Oryctolagus cuniculus: one gene and its partners. The protein of the gene in region 4 purifies or fractionates together with the protein of the main gene of each other region. This does not show direct contact. Links are inferred from orthologs where the notes say so. Each region holds a gene or a part of one and is shown on either strand. Other genes may lie near its edges.

The links.
Region 1: the proteins of MAP3K14 (region 4) and CAD purify together in Homo sapiens (affinity purification with mass spectrometry; 3 studies listed by BioGRID and IntAct, with this or other methods). This does not show direct contact. The link is inferred for Oryctolagus cuniculus from reciprocal best matches to the Homo sapiens genes MAP3K14 and CAD.
Region 2: the proteins of MAP3K14 (region 4) and IKBKG purify together in Homo sapiens (affinity purification with mass spectrometry; 6 studies listed by BioGRID and IntAct, counting the BioPlex papers as one, with this or other methods). This does not show direct contact. The link is inferred for Oryctolagus cuniculus from reciprocal best matches to the Homo sapiens genes MAP3K14 and IKBKG.
Region 3: the proteins of MAP3K14 (region 4) and BIRC2 purify together in Homo sapiens (affinity purification with western blotting; 3 studies listed by BioGRID and IntAct, with this or other methods). This does not show direct contact. The link is inferred for Oryctolagus cuniculus from reciprocal best matches to the Homo sapiens genes MAP3K14 and BIRC2.
Region 5: the proteins of MAP3K14 (region 4) and TIMM13 purify together in Homo sapiens (affinity purification with mass spectrometry; 3 studies listed by BioGRID and IntAct, with this or other methods). This does not show direct contact. The link is inferred for Oryctolagus cuniculus from reciprocal best matches to the Homo sapiens genes MAP3K14 and TIMM13.

What each region holds. Positions count from the first base shown.
Region 1 is NC_091433.1:175,753,321-175,757,418, reverse strand, and holds the start of CAD (multifunctional protein CAD), read left to right. Parts: upstream 1-1,298; 5' UTR 1,299-1,475; coding exon 1,476-1,557; intron 1,558-1,762; coding exon 1,763-1,902; intron 1,903-4,098. Other genes in the region: ATRAID (all-trans retinoic acid-induced differentiation factor), read left to right, coding at 19-90, 189-310, 579-676, 874-978. UniProt on the Homo sapiens protein: Multifunctional protein that encodes the first 3 enzymatic activities of the de novo pyrimidine pathway: carbamoylphosphate synthetase (CPSase; EC 6.3.5.5), aspartate transcarbamylase (ATCase; EC 2.1.3.2) and dihydroorotase (DHOase; EC 3.5.2.3).
Region 2 is NC_091453.1:132,763,940-132,767,955, reverse strand, and holds the start of IKBKG (NF-kappa-B essential modulator), read right to left. Parts: upstream 2,801-4,016; coding exon 2,614-2,800; intron 1-2,613. UniProt on the Homo sapiens protein: Regulatory subunit of the IKK core complex which phosphorylates inhibitors of NF-kappa-B thus leading to the dissociation of the inhibitor/NF-kappa-B complex and ultimately the degradation of the inhibitor.
Region 3 is NC_091432.1:94,067,270-94,071,446, forward strand, and holds the start of BIRC2 (baculoviral IAP repeat-containing protein 2), read left to right. Parts: upstream 1-1,377; 5' UTR 1,378-1,556; intron 1,557-2,728; 5' UTR 2,729-4,011; coding exon 4,012-4,177. UniProt on the Homo sapiens protein: Multi-functional protein which regulates not only caspases and apoptosis, but also modulates inflammatory signaling and immunity, mitogenic kinase signaling, and cell proliferation, as well as cell invasion and metastasis.
Region 4 is NC_091448.1:18,482,470-18,485,969, reverse strand, and holds part of MAP3K14 (mitogen-activated protein kinase kinase kinase 14), read left to right. Parts: intron 1-94; 5' UTR 95-113; coding exon 114-369; intron 370-1,431; coding exon 1,432-1,501; intron 1,502-3,071; coding exon 3,072-3,285; intron 3,286-3,367; coding exon 3,368-3,500.
Region 5 is NW_027208270.1:74,429-77,215, reverse strand, and holds TIMM13 (mitochondrial import inner membrane translocase subunit Tim13), read right to left. Parts: upstream 1,622-2,787; 5' UTR 1,480-1,621; coding exon 1,360-1,479; intron 1,273-1,359; coding exon 1,204-1,272; intron 716-1,203; coding exon 617-715; 3' UTR 501-616; downstream 1-500. Other genes in the region: LMNB2 (lamin-B2), read right to left, coding at 2,428-2,469, 2,716-2,787. UniProt on the Homo sapiens protein: Mitochondrial intermembrane chaperone that participates in the import and insertion of some multi-pass transmembrane proteins into the mitochondrial inner membrane.

The DNA of each region.
Region 1 (4,098 bases), on a different chromosome or scaffold from region 4:
ACCGTGTGTGCTTTGCAGAGAGCTGCAAACAAACCCCCTCCAGGGTGACCTGACCGACACCTTCCGAGGCTTTACACAGCTCCAGACATTGTGAGTATGGGGACAAGATGGAGGGAGAGAACCAAAGGGGGCAGTGCCATGAGCTCAGCAGCTTAGGCTGCGTATTATGACCACTGTGTTGTCTTCAGGGTACTGCCGCATGATGTCAGCTGTCCTGGGGGTATTAGTGCCTGGGACACCGTCACCTCTTACGCAGACAACCAAACCTGCCAAGGGCAAAAGAACCTTTGTAACAGCACTGGAGACCCAGGTACGCTGGCTCACCTCACCTTCCTTCCTTGGACAGTTCTCCACTTTAGAGCAGAAAGCCAAAAATGCCTGAATGCATTTTGTTCTGAGGTTCTAACGACCCTTGGAAAGAAAAGATCTTAAACGTTCTACTGTAATTATTAGGTGTGATGAGCTGTAATCTTTCCTGTCCCTTTGACCTGGAAATGACTGAGAGAACCTAACTTGAAAAGGTGTTTCAGAAATACACCTAATGAAATCCGGCGATGTTCTCTACTTCTGTCTCCCAGAAATGTGCCCTGAGAATGGCTCTTGCGCCCCCGATGGTCCAGGTTTCTTGCAGTGTGTGTGTGCTGATGGCTTCCATGGATACAAGTGTATGCGCCAGGTGAGGAGTTGGGCCTTGCGATTGGGATGAGGCATACATGGTAAGAACCTCCCTGGAAGCAGAGCCAGAGGTGAGGGGCTTATGCAGACTCCCCGGGGGAGGAGCGCGGTAGAGGTGCCCGGGAAGACGGGGAGGGTATACAGGAGAGAAGCTGGGTTGGGGTGTGGAGTGAGTGTGGTTTTGATCTGTTGTTCCAGGGCTCGTTCTCACTGCTTATGTTCTTCGGGATTCTGGGATCCACCACCCTGTCCATCTCTGTCCTGCTTTGGGGGACCCAGCGCCGAAAAGCCAAGACGTCCTGACCACAGGGGTGTTCTGCTGCTCTAGGACCACCAGCCAGGGAGATCTGCGGGCCAGACGCGCGCGGTGGGCCCGTGGCGGCTCCTCCAGGCTGAAGCTGCTGTCGGAAGGCAGGCGGGGAACTGCGCCGCCAGGAGTGTCAGGCGCGGGCCCGTGCGCGATTCCACTTGTGCTGCTGACTATTAGAATAAACACTTCTCTCTCTTTAGGAAGGGCTTCCTGCCTTTGTGTTTCTTGATGGGGGTGGGAGGTACTTCTCGGGGGCGGCCTCCTCCGGCCCCGCCCCTTCCGCGCCCGGCCCCGCCCCGCGCCGCCGGCTGCCCGCGCCGCCGCAGTGCCGGCAGCCGCCGAGCGCGCCAGGGGCTCAGCGCCTGCAGCGCCCGCCTTCTCTCCGGCGCCCGGCGCGGGCAGCCACGTGGACCGATCCGGCGCGCCGCTTCGCGTGCTTCCAGGGGGCTCCCCGCGTCTCCGCGCTCCCCCACGCCGCAGCTCCGTCCCCATGGCGGCCCTGGTGTTGGAAGATGGCTCGGTCCTGCGGGGCCAGCCCTTCGGGGCCGCCGTGTCGACGGCCGGCGAAGTAGGTAAGCAAGCCCGGGCGGGCGCCCACCTCATCGCCCCGCGCTGATGCTGCCCCTCTCCGCCCAGCCCGCCTGCCCGGACCCCGCCATCTTCCGGCCCTGTTCGGGGGCCATGGCCGGAGCCCCGCTGGGCAGCCCGCGCAGGGCGCGCGGGGCAGGGTTGCGAAGGGTGCCCTTGCGCGAGCCCAGCCCCGCCTCTGTCCTGCAGTGTTTCAGACCGGCATGGTCGGCTACCCCGAGGCCCTCACCGACCCCTCGTACGAAGCACAGATCCTGGTGCTGACGTACCCGCTCATCGGCAACTACGGCATCCCCAGGGACGAGCTGGATGAGTTCGGCCTCAGCAAGGTAGCCACGCCCCGTGCTCGCTCTCTCTGCGTGCCTGCTGGCTGGGCGCTGTGACCTCTCAGTCTAGTGACAGCGCTGGCACTCGGCCGGGCATCCCGGGGAGAAGGAGGGTACCCGCTGCAGAGCGCCGTCCTTGGGTTGGGGGTCGCAAAGTTCCCTGGGTGGCAAGGAGCGCCGTGCTGGGGGAGGAGCAGAGAGCTGCCCCCTGTGTTGGGGTCTTCAGGGCACCAGACATAGCTGAGATGAGTGGGTATTTAGCAAAGGCATGGCAAGAGGGGAGAGGCGAGGGTGTTACCCAGGTTGCCAAGAATGCAGAAGTAAGGAAAAAAATCCTGCAGAAAGGTTGGGTAACAGTGGACGCAGAGAGCCTTGGAGTCCAACCAGTGGAAGTGTTTTAGCAGTGGAGTCCTGTGTTGGGAGCATTGCATTAGGTTGACCTAAACTAGGGGCAAAGACACCGAGACCCCACCAGTGACAGTGGGTACAGCTTACCTGCAGCACCGGTGACACCTGGGCCCCCATACCTCGTCCTGTCTGGCTTTCTACATGTCAGTGGTATTCTTACCCCTCATAAGAAAACTCAGTTTCTTTTTACCGTGAGGTTTCCCCTCTTCCTTCCCTGCTATTTGGAAACTAAGTTACCCTGTGCGAGTTCAAGCCTTAAGGTGGTAGTGGAAGGCTGTGGGTGAAGCCACTGTTCATGATGCCGGCATCCCATATCAGAGTGCAGGTTCAAGGCCTGGCTGCTCCACTTCCTACCCAGCTCCCTGCTAATGTGTCTGGCAAGGCAGCAGATGATGGCCCCTGCCACCTACATGGGAGACCAGGATGGAGTTACTGGCTCTTGGCTCTGGCCTGACCCAGCCCTGCCTGAGGAAGGCTAGTATTCCTCAAAACTTGTTTTGTTTGAATTCCTGGTTTGTTGAGCCCTGAATTCTTTTTTTTTTCTTAAGATTTATTTATTTATTTGAAAGAGTTACACAGGGAGAGAAGGAGAGGCAGAGAGAGAGAGAGAGAGGTTTTCCATCCGCTGGTTCACTCCCCAATTGTCTGCAATAGCCAGAGCTGCGTCAATCTGAAGCCAGGAGCCAGAGCTTTTTCCGGGTCTCCCACGTGGGTACAGGGGCCCAAGGACTTGAGCCATCTGCTGCTTTCCCAGGCCAGAGCAGAGAGCTGGATCGGAAGTGGTGCAGCTGGGTCTTGAACCCTGAATTCTTAATTTGCCTTCCCAGTCACCTTGATGCTGGAGAGTTAGCTCTGGGAAAGGAACCACTGTCTTCATCATAAACCTTTATTTTTTTTGATAGATTTATTTATTTATTTATTTTGGAAAAGTCACAGAGGGAGAGACAGAGTTCTTCCACCTTCTGGTTCACTCCCCAGATGGTTGCGTCGGCCAGGGCTGGGCCAGGCCAAAGCCAGGAACCAGGAACTCCATCCAGGTCTCCCACGTGGGTGGCAGGGGCCCAAGCACTTGAGCCATCCTCTGCTGCCTTTCCCGGGCTGTCAGCTGAGAGCTGGATCGGAAGTGGAGTAGCTGGGACACACACCGGCATCCAGTGGCTTCAGACGCCAGCCCCCATCAAAAGTCTTTGAATGCATGACACTCTAGTTTGTAATGCAGTGTCCCTTGAATTTGGTTGGCGCATCAGTTGTCAACTTCATCAGCTCCAGGCACACGGCCAAAATGGAGTTTATAAAATAGACTGCTGAGACAAGGTGAGCACGTCCTCCCTACAGCCAGCACGATGCTTCTGAGGTGGGAGAGAGAGACGCGCTGTCAGTGCACCTGCACATGTGCGGTTTGCTCCAGCCGGCTGGGGAGGGTCCTGCCCTGCTGTTCTTCAGGTCCCTGAAGAGCAGGCTCAGCGTCCATCTGCCCTTACGCCTTTCTCCATGGAGCTGGATGCAGTTTAAATGTGTTGCTCCCTCCCACAGAAACTTCCTGTTTAATTATTAATTACTACCTCTTGATGAACAGATTTACATGATTTTTCTTTTTTTTTGAGAGGTAGAGTTCCTATCCACTGGTTCACCAAATGTCCACAACACGAGGTGACAGAGCAGGAAGCCAGGAGTCAGGAACTTGATCCAGATCTGTCCCGTGGGTGCAGGGACTCGGCTACTTGAGCCTTCGGCACTGCCTTCCTGGGTCTGCCTTAGCAGAAAGCTGGAACCAGGAGCCAGGGCAGGAAC
Region 2 (4,016 bases), on a different chromosome or scaffold from region 4:
GCTCACTAGGCTAATCCTCCGCCTAGCGGCGCCGGCACACCGGGTTCTAGTCCCGGTCGGGGCGCCGGATTCTGTCCCAGTTGCCCCTCTTCCAGGCCAGCCCTCTGCTGTGGCCAGGGAGTGCAGTGGAGGATGGCCCAGGTGCTTGGGCCCTGCACCCCATGGGGAGACCAGGAAAAGCACCTGGCTCCTGGCTCCTGCCATCGGATCAGCGCGGTGCGCCGGCCGCAGCGCACCGGCCGTGGCGGCCATTGGAGGGTGAACCAACGGCAAAAGGAAGACCTTTCTCTCTGTCTCTCTCTCTCTCACTATCCACTCTGCCTGTCAATAAATAAATAAATAAATAAATAAATAAATAAGAGCAGTCTTCTTCTCGCCAGACTAAGCCATGAGCATATATCAGTGCCAGCGGCAGGTGGCTGGCAGAGGCCAGAGGAGAGGAAAGCCACATACCCAGCGACCACCCCAGGTAGAGGAAGAAGCATCTGACAAAAGCGATCAGTGACGTGCAAGGTTCTAGGGCAACCACAGAACCGTATCCAACAGAGGTAGACAGTAGTTTCACATCACTGAATGTTCCAAACCCTTGGCCATCACTGCTGCCTGCCCACTCAACCCGAGTCTCAACTTGTGTGCAATGTCTTTTAAATTTCTTTTTAGTGACGTAAAAATTCATGTAACATCAAATTCACCATTTTAACTATTTTAAAGTATAGTCATCCAGTGGTTTTTAGCTAATGAAGCTGTAAGATCATGCAACCATCAGCACTACCTAATTCCAGAACATTCCCAGCACCCCAGAAAGAAACCCCAAACCCAGCAGCATTCTCTCCCGTAGGCCCCCTGCCCGCACTCCTGGCGTCCACTCAACTGCTTTCTGTCTCTGAGACATGTCACGTGAATACAGGCAAGCTCTTCCGGGAAGTTTCTTCATAAACGTTCTGAGCAAACACTGTACCCTCCCTTGTTTGGTTTCACAGCCTACCTATAGACACAATCATGAGCACCTTGGGGGACAATCACCTTCAGGGCCCCGGGGGTCTCACATGCTGCCCCCCAAGCTTTATCCAGCTTCCCAGTTGGAGGCAATATAGCCTCAAGTCTCCACTTGCTGCCAGAGACTTAGCAAAGCTGTTGTGCTGAACACACAGTCTAGGAGGCAGAAGAGCCGAGCCACCACAGGCCATGGCATGAGCCCTGCACAACTGCTCTGAAATGCTCTGGGCCCCTAGGGATGAGCAGAGGCCCCGATCTGGCTGCCAGCTCTATGTGCATGACTTGTTCTGAAGACCCCAGCACAGTGGGTCCCACTCAAGGACAACTGTGACTCCCAGGGGACTGGAGGGGCACTATTGGCACCTGTGAGTAGAAGCCAGGGATACTGCTCACCATGCCACAATGGCTAGGACAGCCCTCACCACAGAGAATTAGCTGGCCCCAGAGGTCAACAGAACTGAGGTAGAAGACACTGCTGCTCTGTGCTCAAGACAGGGCCTCGGGGCCAGCGCCGTGGCATAGTGGGTAAAGCCGCCGTCTGCAGTGCCACCATCCCATATGGGCGCTGGTTCTAGACCCACTGCTCCACTTCCGATCTAGCTCTCTGCTATGGCCTGGGAAAGCAGAAGATGGCCCAAGTCCTCAGGCCCCTGCACCCGCATAGGAGACCCAGAAGAAGCTCCTGGCTCCCAGCTTGGGATCAGCACAGCTCTGGCCGTTGAGGCCATCTGCAGAGTGAACAAGCGGATGGAAGGCCTCTCTTTCTCTGTATGCCTCTGCCTCTCTGTAATTCTGCCTTTCAGATAAATAAATCTAAAAAAAAAAAAAAAAGGCGGGGCCTCTCCAATGCAACCTTCAAGGAAACCAAGCAGTCTCTTGGTGGCTAGCTGTCTCCTAGGAAGAGGACACACATTCCAGACCCAGGTCTGCTCCCTGCGTGCATGGCATCTGCCAGCACCACTCCCTGAGGCCACAGAGCACGTGACTCATCAGCAAAAGACCCTACATCACATCCAACACTCACTTAAGGAGGTGGGGAATGGGACTACAACTGTGGCAAGAGCCACTGGCCAACTAGGACATGAATGGCCAACTAAAGACACAACTGAGGCATCAGCTACCCCACTGCAGCAGGGGTCATGCCTCTCATGCTGGTCAACACCACCTCCTCTCAGGGTGGGCCACACCCACTTCCCAGGACAGGCCACAGCACCCCCCTCTCAAACAAGACCGCAACCCACCCCAGGAAAGTCTGAGTCCCCTCCCAGGGAAGAGGTCCTCTGAGGCTGGGCCACGCTGGTCCAGCCTGGAAGTGTCAGTCCAGCCCCAGAGTCCCTGGGGGTCAGCCAAGGCAGCCCACTTCTGCTGCCCACCCCTGCTTTCTCCCATCTCCTTCCCTTCTCTGCCTCAGTACTGACCCTGCCATGCACCTCGGTCTGCTCCCAGGGAACCCCGCCTGGAACCAGGAGGCAAGGTAGCTACGCTGGAAGCACAAGCTGGCTCTCGGGGTGCCCTCGCCCCACACCCAGCAGACGCAGAGGTGCACGAGAGAAGCCTTGCCTTCAGCAGGACCAGATCCCCTGACTTTGTGCCCCACCTACTTGCTGTCCACCTCACCTCGGAGCTCTTGGTTCTCCTCCAGACAGCGCTGGAGAGCGTCAGGAGCACCCTGCTCTGCGGGCAGATGCAGCATGGCCGGCTTCCCCAGAGAAGACTCTTCAGGCAGCACGTCCTGGTCCCCGGCCGGGCCGCCGCTGGGCTGCACCATCTCACACAGCTGGTTCTTCCAGGGCTGCCTGCTCATCCAAGGCACGCTCTTCGAGAAAGGCAGCAAAGGCATCCCATGAGACCCAGGGGAATTCTCATCCCCAGCAGGATAAGTACACTCTGTGCAGGAGCTCTGGGGCCATGAAGGCAAAATGCTGATCCCTCTGGCCGAAATGGGGTTTCGATCTAAGAGGTCACAAACACCCTCATTCCGAAGGAAGATGCTGAACCACCTCTGTGAGACTTGCACAGGCCATGGCTTAGCACTGGTTACGGACTCTGTACCAGCACCCATCTTCAGGATGCACACCTAAGGCAGGAACTTTGCCAGAGGCAGAAAACTAAGGATTATTGTAGCAGGAGACATCGGTGTGCGCTGGGACCCCTACCCTTACACAGACCCTCAAGCCGGAGGGGATGTTCCCTCCCAAGTACTGTAGGCTGCATGGTAGCCCCAAAACCTATAAATGCAACTTTATTTGGGAAAAGTATCTTTGCAGATGTAAACTAAGGGCCTTGATCAAAATGAGAGCTTGCTGGGTTATTCAGGTGGGCCTTAAATCCATTAACAAGTGTCTTTATAAAAGACAAAAGACAGAGGAAAACATGCAAGGAAGAAAGCCAGGTGAAAACAGTCAGAAGGGGCCAGCATTGTGGTGTAACGGGTTAAGCCACCATCCCATATAGGCACTGGTTCAAGGCCTGATTACTCCACTTCCAATCCAGCTCCCTGCTAATGCACCCAGGAAAGCAGCGGAAGATGGCTCAAGTGCTTGGGTCCCTGTACCCAAGTGCGAGACCCAAATGAAGTTCCTGGCTCCTGGTTTCAGCCTGGCCTGGCCCTGGCCATTGCAGCCATCTGGGGAGTGAAACGGCAGACAGAACATCTCTCTCTCTCCATCCTACCCTCTCTATCTGCCTTTCAAATAAATAAATCTTTTTTTAAAAAAAATGAAGCAGATAGTGGCCAGGGAGTGCAGTGGAGGATGGCCCAAGTCCTTGGGCCCTGCACCCCATGGGAGACCAGGAGAAGTACCTGGCTCCTGCCATCGGATCAGCGCGGTGCACCGGCCGCAGTGCGCCGGCCGCAGCGGCCATTGGAGGGTGAACCAACGGCAAAGGAAGACCTTTCTCTCTCTCTCTCTCTCTCTCACTGTGCACTCTGCCTGTCAAAAAAAAAAAGAAGCAGATAATAAAGAGATGTGGCCACATGCCAAGGAAAAATCAGAGCCACCAGAAGCTGGAAGAGACGA
Region 3 (4,177 bases), on a different chromosome or scaffold from region 4:
ATCTAAGGCTTTTGAAATGCAAAATTTCCCCCTCTACAGAAGTACATTCATTACCTTTTTTGGTCAGGACAAGAACTGAAAAGGAGAAATAATCTTGAATTCAGAATGAACAATTCTTGCTATATACTTTTCCCACATATTTTGGGAATGTTTTGTAACTTTCCGAGAAACATAACTTGAACTAAATACTAAACTACTACCAAGACCCATGTGCATTTTTGGAAGTTTTTAGTCATTGGGAGCCGTGGCATTTCTCCTCTATCACACTTTCTTTTTACTACCAACCATGGAACAGAGGACCTCCTGCTCTGTGACTGACTGGCAGGCAGAAATGACAGGACAGGAAATGGGAAATGGTTCAGTGTGTTGGAATTCCCCTGGCTGCCTAATTAAGTGGCTTATTTGGAAGTTTTTGAAATGTTTGCCCCTGGAGTTCCCCGGAAAGAAGCAAGCATCTGAGTTCATTGACAAAGCCTATTTTCACAGACACCGCGATACAACATGTACCCCACGGCCCAGGAGCGCAGCCGCATTCCACGCCGCAGAGGACGAGAGCCAAATGGCCCAGGCTAATGCAACCAAGGTTTATTTACGCGTGTTCCATCACGTCCCCATACGGAAAAAAATCCTTTGTCTTCGTAAGTGAACTCCTTGGCGCTTCCTGTATATGTGTGCACGTACATAACGTATACGTTCCATTTTATTCAAACCCAGCAAATCCTCGGACTGAAGCCTGACTCTCGTGGCTAACAATGCACATTTGAAATAAAACACAGCTCTTCCCCTGGAGCCTGTCTCCAGAGCAGGAAACCGAAAGTTTAAAAAAAGAAACGCTGGTTGATAAAAAAAAAAAAAAAAAAAAAAAAAAAAAAAGCTTCAAGTTTTCAAAAGCAATCTCCTGACGCCGTCCTCGCTGCATGTCTCGGCTGTGCACCCTGGCTTGCTCCCGGGCTGCGCTGCGGGACACGCACGAGGGGCAGCACGGCGAGAGTCCCGCGGGGGCCCGGACCCAACGAGGGGGCGGCCCGCGACGTGCAGTCCCTGCGCCAGGGCGTTTCCGCAGGGTTTCCCGAGCCTCCAACGCAACCGCTCACGCTCTGCCACGTCCCCCTCAGGAGAACGTCCGCGGCAGAGAAGAGGCAGATGTCACAGGGGCGCCAACCACGCGGCTAAAACGTGCAAACGCCAAGTTCAGGCGAACGAGCCGCAGCACCCCGCGGAACGACCGCGCCGCTCCAGGTGGGCGGACCCGCCGGGCCGCGCCGGGCCTCCCCGGGCCTCCGGGCCTCCTTCCCGGAGGTGACCCAGCGCTCCGTTCCGCTCTCCGACCGCAGACTCCCGGGCGCCCTCGCGCGGCGGGGGACGTGGGCGACCCGCAGGACGCGCTGACGTCACCGTGCGTCCGCGTCGGCCCCGCCGGGGTAGGGGGCTTGGGGAGCGCCGCAGGCCGGCAGAGCCGGGTTTGGCCGCTTGAGGTCTCGGCCCCACTGCCTTCCTGTTGTGCGGAGGCCTCCAGGCCCCCGAGCTGGGTCCCTGTTTGCTGTGCTGGCGATGCGGTGAGTGCGGCTCCTTCCGGGGCCGGCCGCGCGGGGCGGGTCGGGGCGCGGGCCTGCGGGGGCCCACTTCCCTGGTGTTGCGGCCGGGCGAGGGAGGACGGGGCCTGGGGCGCCGTGGGCTGTGTGGTTTCTACCCGCGCCGAGGCTTGTATTTAATTCGGAAGCCCCAACTTCAAAAGACTTTCAGTCGAGACTGGCTGCTTTTTTTTTAAATGATTCGTTTTCAAGTCTGGCCGCCGCCTGCTTTACTGCCCTTTGGACTTTGATCAAGATAGTTGCTCTAGGGAGTTTTTGCGCACTTGTAAACTTAGGCTTCCGTGGTCCGTGGGAACGCGAGAGCTCACATTTTGCAAGGCTCTGCGGTCCGCTGCTGCGGTGGTTGTCTGTTGTGTGTTGTTTGAAATAACTCCTAGAAATTAATGGCTAAAGCCGCACGGTTTCTCCTCTTTTCCCTTCCAGTTTATCCCCTGCCCACCTACAGCTTGCTTAAAGAGATCAAAAGTAGCAATATGCTGCTTGTAGATAAAGAGCTAAAATTTAAAGATACGAGACATGGTGTAATTAAAGTGTGCATTCATGCAAGCGGTCACAGTGCCAGGCCCAGGGTTGCAGGGACTATTATGTTACTGTTTGTTTTCGAGTTGGCTGTCTGTAGTGGTGGCGGCTTTGGAATTGCGAGGCAGCTGGTATGGTTTAAGGATTTGTATTAATGAGCTCCTCCTGATGTCTTTAACGCCCCACCAGACCAGCTGGTTTTTCTAGCCCTGGAAAGACCTAACATTTAAAAATCGCTTTACGGATCTGTCTCTGCTAGCCCCGTTGCAGACAGGGAGTAATGGAGTCTCCAGTTCTGTCCCTTTGTGCCTCCACCAAAGTGCCCGAGATAATTATCCTGAAGTGAGAAAAGGGGAGGAGACTGAAGACAGTGTTTCCACGTGTGGAATTGTCTTTGACGCTGTACATTGTAAAGACATGGATATAGTTCATGCTGTGGAGCTGTTTTGCATTTATTTAAATTAAGAGCATGTCCAATTAGAAAGTTTTGGTGACAGATTGCTGGAATTAACATATTGTCTAAAGTGTCAGTCAGACTCCACTGAATAAATTGCATAATCTGTAAGCTTCATGTGGCATGCAAATAGTTTTCTAAAATACCTTTTCTTTCTTTTCAGATTTATGGCTCTGAAGAGTCTCTTTGTCCCCCATTTTTTCTCCCCTTGAAGATAATAAATCCCACTATGGAGACCCTGAAACTTTATAAAGGAATATAGTTTGAATTCTATGGAGTGTAATTTTATGTATGAATTAAATTTTAAAAGTGTTGAGTTTTCAGAACGAAGGCTGGGAGTTCAGCACTGGTCTATTATGTGGAATCAGTAATTCTGTTGTGATAACACTAGAAAGGACAAGCTGTGTATTTTGATAAATTGGTTCATCCTCAATTACAACATGACTGATATTACAGCTGAATTGTCCTTAAAAAAAGAGCAGGTTAACTTTTAAATGCAGTGTAAAGAGTGTGTACTGTGGAACTTTCTATGGTTAACTAGTTAAGTTTATGAAGAAAGTACTGGCAGTTGATCAGTCATAATCAAGTGGCGTGCAAAGTTAGAAAGACAACATGCTACAGGAAATGGAAACAAGTACAGGTAATATTTAACAAAAATAGAGGAGTTAATAGCTTGTGAACTTTAAGCAAAAAATCATTTGATAATCATACACACTGTACTAGGTATAGATTGAACAAACCTGGTGGATGCTAACTTAACCCTAGAATTGTTAACTGAAGCTAATAAACCTATTTAAGTAAATACTATGACGATAAGCTATGTGAAATTAGCCTTTAGATAATGTGACTTTTATAAATGAAGCTTTTAATTACTTTTGTTTACTAGAAGAAAGTGAAAAAAAATTTGGATGTCATAGTAAGGTGCTTACAGGGAAACAATCCTGCATATAGATTTTTTTCTCTTGTGAAATAATCAGTGATTGGCCTGATGTCCAAGCTTCATAGCTTATAACCAAAAGCGAATTGGAGTCATAATTGAGATAATCTGTAGTTGCTTAGTATTTGGAAAATATAAACCTCTTAGAAAAATCAAGTTTTAACATTTCCCAAGTGCGTGAACTTTTTCAGGCCGTTACATTATTGTTATACCAATGAGTAAATAGCTCTTTAGTTACTTAAAAGTGAATACAATCTTGAAGAATACTAAGAGTATCTTGGTAATTTAGGAGATTTATTTATCCCACCTTACCATAAGCTCACCAGTCAGGTGTGGTGAATTCTGCGTAAGTCAACCAGTCATTTGATTCCTTTCTGTGGTGAAGTCTCTGAAGAGATGAGAGGTTTCATGTGAAGGTTTTAGCCATCAAGAAATACTGTCACCTACTCATGCACAAAACTACCTCCCCAAGAGTAGTCCCAAGGACCCTGTATTGAAGAACTCAGAATATGATGGAAGACAGCACCATCTTGTCAACTTGGACAAATGACAACAAACAAAAAATGAAGTATGACTTCTCTTGCGAACTCTACAGAATGTCTACCTACTCAGCTTTCCCCAACGGTGTTCCTGTCTCAGAACGGAGTCTTGCTCGTGCTGGTTTCTATTACACTG
Region 4 (3,500 bases):
GCCCCTGCATTTCTCCTCCAGCCCAAGCCTGCCTGGTGCCCACTCTGGGGGTCTGGGATTGCAAGTGACCTTCTCTGTTCTTGGTCTCCCACAGCGTGAGCACAGCGTGGAAGATGGCAGTGATGGAAACAGCCTGCCCGGGCACCCCTGGCTCTGCAGTTGGGCAGCAGAAGGAGCTCGCCCAAGCCAAGGAGAAGACACAGTCTCTGGGGAAGAAGCAGAGCTCCCTCCTCCATCTCGAGGCCGTGGAGAAGAGCCCTGTGTTCTGCGGGAAGTGGGAGGTCCTAAATGACGTGATTACCAAGGGCACAGCCAAGGAAGGCTCCGGGGGCGGGCCAGCCGCCATCTCCATCATCGCCCAGGCTGAATGTAAGGGACTGGCTTGTGGGCACAGGGAGCAGGTGGCGGGCTAGACACAGAGGAGGCCAGGCTTGGGGTCCCTGATGGAAAGGAGTGGTTAAGGTAACCATTAGATAAGATTCTCACAAGACATGGCCATGGCCCAGATTCAGTGAGAAGTAGTGGGAGATGAAAGAGCGGATGTGGGGAACAGAGGCTGAACCCATGGTGAGAAGAGGTGGCAGCACTGAGAGGCAGGTGACTTGGGTCTCTTTGCGGGATCATCAAGAGGGCCAGTAGCCTAGAGGGGCCCTAGCCAGGAAAGACCAGGTCTCCCGGAAAGCCCCGCTGGGACTTGCAGGTCCTTTTCCACCTTCCACCTGGATATGGCCCCAACCCCCAGGATGAACACCCTGCTTTGGGGCATGCTGGTCCAGTCCAGGGCTGCAGCCACCCCAGGGTGAGACTGGGCCTGGCACTTTGTGCTTCTACTCGCAGTACCTCAAGGTGACAGGCAATGGTGGCGGCTCTAGGAGGGCCGGGGAAGGCCAGCAGTCCTCTCCCCTTTCCGACACTCGCTCCAAGCCCAGAGGTTTCTAGGGGTGGGACGTGGAGGGCCTGACAGCCAGTGATGAGGCTTCCTTCCTTCCTTTCCCACTTGCGGCTGTTTGCTTGTTGAAGAGAGCTGAGGGAATGAAAAGGAAAATGGAGCGAGCCACATAGTAGTGGTGGTATACAGATACACACATGTAGCTGAACCAGTGTGGAACATACACGCTCACGGTCCTTCTCTGTGTAGGATGGAGCCACTGCCCTGTGCCGTGTGCTTTGTGTAGATCATTTCACAGAAGCTGTACACTAGAAGTGAGGTGGGCACCCCACAGTCCCCAAATCCTCAACATCCCTTCTGCTCTTGACCATGAAGCTGGGCAGGAGGAAGGTCAGACGGTCAGTGAGAGGAGGCCAGGGCCAGGAGGTAGCCGGCAGAGACGTGCTGAGGGGGGAGAGGAGGACTCTAAGGTGCATCTGCTGCTGAGGTCGTGTTCCTTCTCTTCTCTCTGCAAACCCCCCCTCTCTCCACTTATTTCAAAGGTGAGAACAGCCAGGAGTTCAGCCCCACCTTTTCAGAACGCATTTTCATCGCAGGGTCAAAACAGTACAGGTAAGAAAGCCTGCTGGGCGGGGCCGGGGACCCGAAGCTGGTGTCCTCCCTGCCCTGCGCACCCAGGCTGCTGCCCGCTGGCCCTGGCTCCCTCCTCAGACACCTGTGGTTCAGCTCTTGGCATGTAAAGCCTTTCAGAGCCTTTTCAGGGCGTGTGGACGCCTGCCTCTGGGTCCCATCAGCCTGACACTTTGTTTTTGTTCTTTTCTGAGTCCTTGAGGCACCCCTGCTTTCCATCAACAGGGAGGGTTCCGGGAACAGGGGCCACTTCCTACTGGTGCGTGTCTGTGATCGCCTGTGCAGGGGTCCCCTCACCGTCCCCTGGGGAGAGAGCCCACTGGTGTCTCCCCCTGGAGACTCACCTGTAGGGGATGGTTTTGTGGAGGCAGGGGCTGGGCAGACCAGAGCGGCAGGACGCACTCCCAGCTCTCAGACCCCCAGAGACGCTGTTTGGCAACTGAGGGTTCAGCCTAGAAACACTTCCCTCCCCCGGCTGCAGGCCAGCTTCTGTACCCTTGGGATCTGGAAGCTGCTAGTGACGGTGGGAGGGCTGCCGCTGGGAGCCAGAAAGCCTCGGACTTTGGCCGAACTCCTCTGCTGACTTGGAGGCCTTGGCCCGGGGCAAGGGTTTCTGATGGGCCCACCCTTCTCAGCCTTCAGAGAGGAGCCTGTGGGAGCTCAGGCCTCCAGCCGTCCCCAGGCCTTGGGGGGAGCCTGCCTTTATTTTCAGGGCAGAAGGTGAGGCCCAAGGAGCGCGGCAGAGGCTGTGGTCTGCTCCATACCACATTCAAAAACTCTCATGGTGCAGTTCCTCTCAGAACTAGCAGTGGTGTGAACCCGTGAGAGCCATGGTGGGGAGAAGCCTCTGGGTGGTCAGAGAAGGAAGGACAAGCTCCATGGTCCCCGGACACCAGGCAGGCAGCTCCTGGCTTCCTGCAGTAACCAGGTATCTCCAGGGACCAGTGCAGGCAACCTGACTATGATGACAGCAACTAGCCTTCTCTCTGGAGGCATCAGAAACAAACCGCTGCCAGTCCGGGCTGAGGACGTCTGCTGTGAACATGGCGCTCTTCTGGAAGCCCTCCAGGGGACAGCAGAGAGAAGCCCATGTCTCTGCTGTCCCCCCTCAAGAGAGCAGGGTCCTAGGCCCCGTGTGTTGACAGCTGGCCTTGGGCTGGGCATGGAGGTTGGCTTGTTAGTGAACTGTTTCATTGGAACCTCGTGTCCTCCCTGCACAGCAGAAAGATTTCACATATGAGAAAACTGAGGTTCCTCTGGCTAAGACCTGTCCCGAATTTGCATGAGTGTGGTCACATGCCGTGTGATGTGACGTGGTCTCACAGGATTACTGTACGACCCCGTGACTTGGTAGCACTCCTGCTTTGTGTGAGCATACGCTCTGCCACTCCCCTGACGAACTCACACGTATCTCAGACACAGTGCTGTCAATAAGCAACCGTCATAACCCAGAGGCACTGGATCTCAGATCTGTGGACTCCACGGTTAACCTGACCCATCCCATCCTCCTGCCTCCTGTGCCCTCAGCGCCCACCTTGCCCTCTCTTGACAGCCAGTCTGAGGGCCTTGATCAGATCCCCAACAATGTGGCCCACGCAACCGAGGGCAGAACAGCCCGTGTGTGCTGGAAGGGAAAGCGTCGCAGCAAAGCCCGCAAGAAAAGGAAGAAGAAGAAGAGCTCAAAGTCCCCGGCACAGGCAGGAGTGGCCTTAGCCAAACCCTGCCCCCGAACCCCTGAGCAGGAGAGCTGCACAGTCCCCGTGCAGGTGAGACCCGCCACCCCCTGCCCAGAGCCCGGCTCCTGGGGCCTTCTGAACACCTGTCCTAACTCCTGTGTTTCCCCTGCAGGAGGATGAGTCTCCATTGGGCACCCCGTATATTAGAAGCAGCCCCCAGTTCACCAAACCTCTGAGGGAACCAGGCCTTGGCCAACTCTGTTTTAAGAAACTTGGTGAGGACCTACGGCCGGCACTGCCTCGAT
Region 5 (2,787 bases), on a different chromosome or scaffold from region 4:
GCGGCCGTGCGCGTGCTCAGCGAGCAGACCTGCCGCCGCTTCTACCCGGTGCAGATCAGCAGCCGTATGCTGTGCGCCGGCTTCCCGCAGGGCGGCGTCGACAGCTGCTCGGTGAGCGGGCGGCCGGGGGTCCCGGGCCCTCCCCGCGGCCTCCGCTGAGCCCCCTCCTCCTCCTCCTCTCCCTCAGGGCGACGCCGGGGGTCCTCTGGCCTGCAGGGAGCCCTCCGGCCGCTGGGTGCTAACGGGGGTCACCAGCTGGGGGTACGGCTGCGGCCGGCCCCACTTCCCCGGCGTCTACACCCGGGTGGCGGCGGTGAGAGCCTGGATCGCGCAAAACATCCAGGAGTGACCCTGCCTGTGCCAATAAACAGCTCCCGCCCGCAGCCCGACGGCTCAGCGCCTCCTTGTCCCGCGCGGGGCCGGGGGGGGGGCGGGGGGGCAGCCTCGCAGCGGGCACCGCACTCCCCCGCCCGCGCCCAGAGAGAAATGCGGGTCCCCGCGCTGGCTCAGCCGTTTATTCGCCCTCGCGGGGTCACAGCGGAGCGGGGCCCGAGCGCCCCCTCCCCACCAAGGTCCAGACCCGGCCCCGACGCCCGGCCTGCGGCGTCCGGCTCGGTCACAGGTTGGCGCGCTCCCGCTGCAGCCGCGAGGTGTAGGCGCGCGACACGGTGTTCCAGGCGTCCATGTAGCGGTCCATGCACATGGCGATGCACTTCTGCGGCGGGGACACGCGGCTCAGCCGGGGACACGCGCGCGCCCCGGCCCTCCCCGCCGGCGCCGGGACCCCGCGCCCCCGCACAGGCCTCCCCGCCGGCGCCGGGACTCCGCGCCCCCTCCCCGCCGGCGTCCCGCGTCCCTGCACACGGACACCCCGCGCCCCCTCCGCCGCCCCGCGCCCCCGCCGCCCCGCACACACCTCCCCTCCGGCGCCGGGACCCCGCGCCCCCTCCCCGCCGGCGTCCCGCGCCCCCGCCGCCCCGCGCCCCTGCACACGGACACCCCGCGCCCCCGCCGCCCCGCACACACCTCCCCGCCGGCGTCGGGACCCCGCGCCCCCGCACACGGACACCCCGCGCCCCCGCCGCCGCCCCGCGCCCCTGCACACGGACACCCCGCGCCCCCGCCGCCCCGCACACAGCTCCCCTCCGGCGCCGGGACCCCGCGCCCCTGCACACAGCCTCCCCGCGCCCCCGCGGGACTCACCTGCTCCGAGTTGTCCAAGGAGCCCCCCGGCTTCCCGATGCACTTCCGGAAGCACTTGTCCGTCATTCTCTGCGGAGACACGCGCAGGCCTCAGCCGCGCCGCCCGAGCCCGGGCGCCTCCGCCTCCGCCTCCGCCGCGCCGCCCCCGGCCCGCACCTGCAGCAGCTCCTGCGCGTTGGCCACGGCGATCTGCACCTTCACCTGCTCCATGATGAGGCCCGGGTCCAGCTTCCCGCCGCCCGAGCCCCCGAAGTCCGAGCCGAAGCTGCCCTCCATGGCTCCGCAGTCAGCCGGACTGTGGCCGCGCGCACCGACCCGTCTCCGCGCCGGAAGTCGCGCCGCGCGGGGCACCACGGGAAGCGGAGCCGGCCGGCGGACTACAACTCCCACAATGCCCGCGCATGCGCGAGGCGCCACGCTTCCGCCGAATCCCGTCGCGCCTGCGCACTCCCGCGCGCGCCTGGGGCGGAGCCAGGTCACGTGACGCGGCAAAGCCCGGCCCAGGCGACAGCGGCCTGGACGCCCAGGGCGAGGGGAGGTGGCCAGGGCCGGCGACAGAAGGAGCGAGCGGCCGCGGTTAGAATCAAAACGTTTATTGGAGTGTTGTTGTACAAAAGGTTCCAGTCGTAAAATGCGTTACAAACCACGGGAGGGGCCGCATGCATCCGGGCGCGTGACCGGGACCCCCCCCAGGGCCGCGACCCCCCGAGCCCACGCGCACAGGGCCACGGGGTTCCCGCCCCGCCGCGGGAAGGCGTGGGGTGAAGACAACTTCCCTGCGCGCGAGGCGTGCGTGCCCCGGGGGCGCGTGGGGCAGCGCGGGGGCGGGGCCCGGGCGGGGGTCTGGGCGGTCGGCCCGAGGGGTGGGGCTGACCCATGTAAAAAAATAAATATCCATTAAAAAAATAGCGTCTGTGCGTGGGAGGCTCCTGCGGCCGGGCCGCGGCTGACGGACAGGAGCCACGCACCGACGGGGCCGTGCGGGAGCTCCCGGCCGCGACCCCCGCAGCGCCAGCGTCCCTGGGCGCCCGCCGCGCTCGCGGGCAGGGGTGCGGGCGGGGGTCCCGGCCGAGGCGGGGCCCTGCTGGCGCCTCCCGGGACCGCCCCGCCCCGCCCCGCCCCGCCCGCGCCCGCAGTTGTAAGAATTCTCGGGAAATGGTATCGGTGTGGGGAAAGCCAATGATAGAAAACTACAGTCCTCGGGGGCCGCGGGCGGGGCGGCGCTCACATCACGCGGCAGCCTCTCGACGTGGTGCGGGGGTCTCCCTGCGGGGAGGGCGCGCGTCAGGCCCCAGGCCCGGCCTTCGGGGCGCTCCCTCCGGGGAAGGCCCCGCCCGCAGCCCCGCCCGCAGCCCGGGACCACGCGGGGACGCCCCCACCCCGCCCCCACCCTGCCCGCAGCCCAGGACCACGCGGGACGCCCCCCACCCCGCCTACAGCCCCGGACCACGCGGGACACCCCCGCCCCGCCCCGCCCGCAGCCAGGACCACGCGGGACGCCCCGCCCGCTACCTGCTGGTGGAACAGGTCCTCCTCGCCCAGCTCAGCCTGCTCGTCCCCGTCCTCGTCTCCGTCACCGCTCTC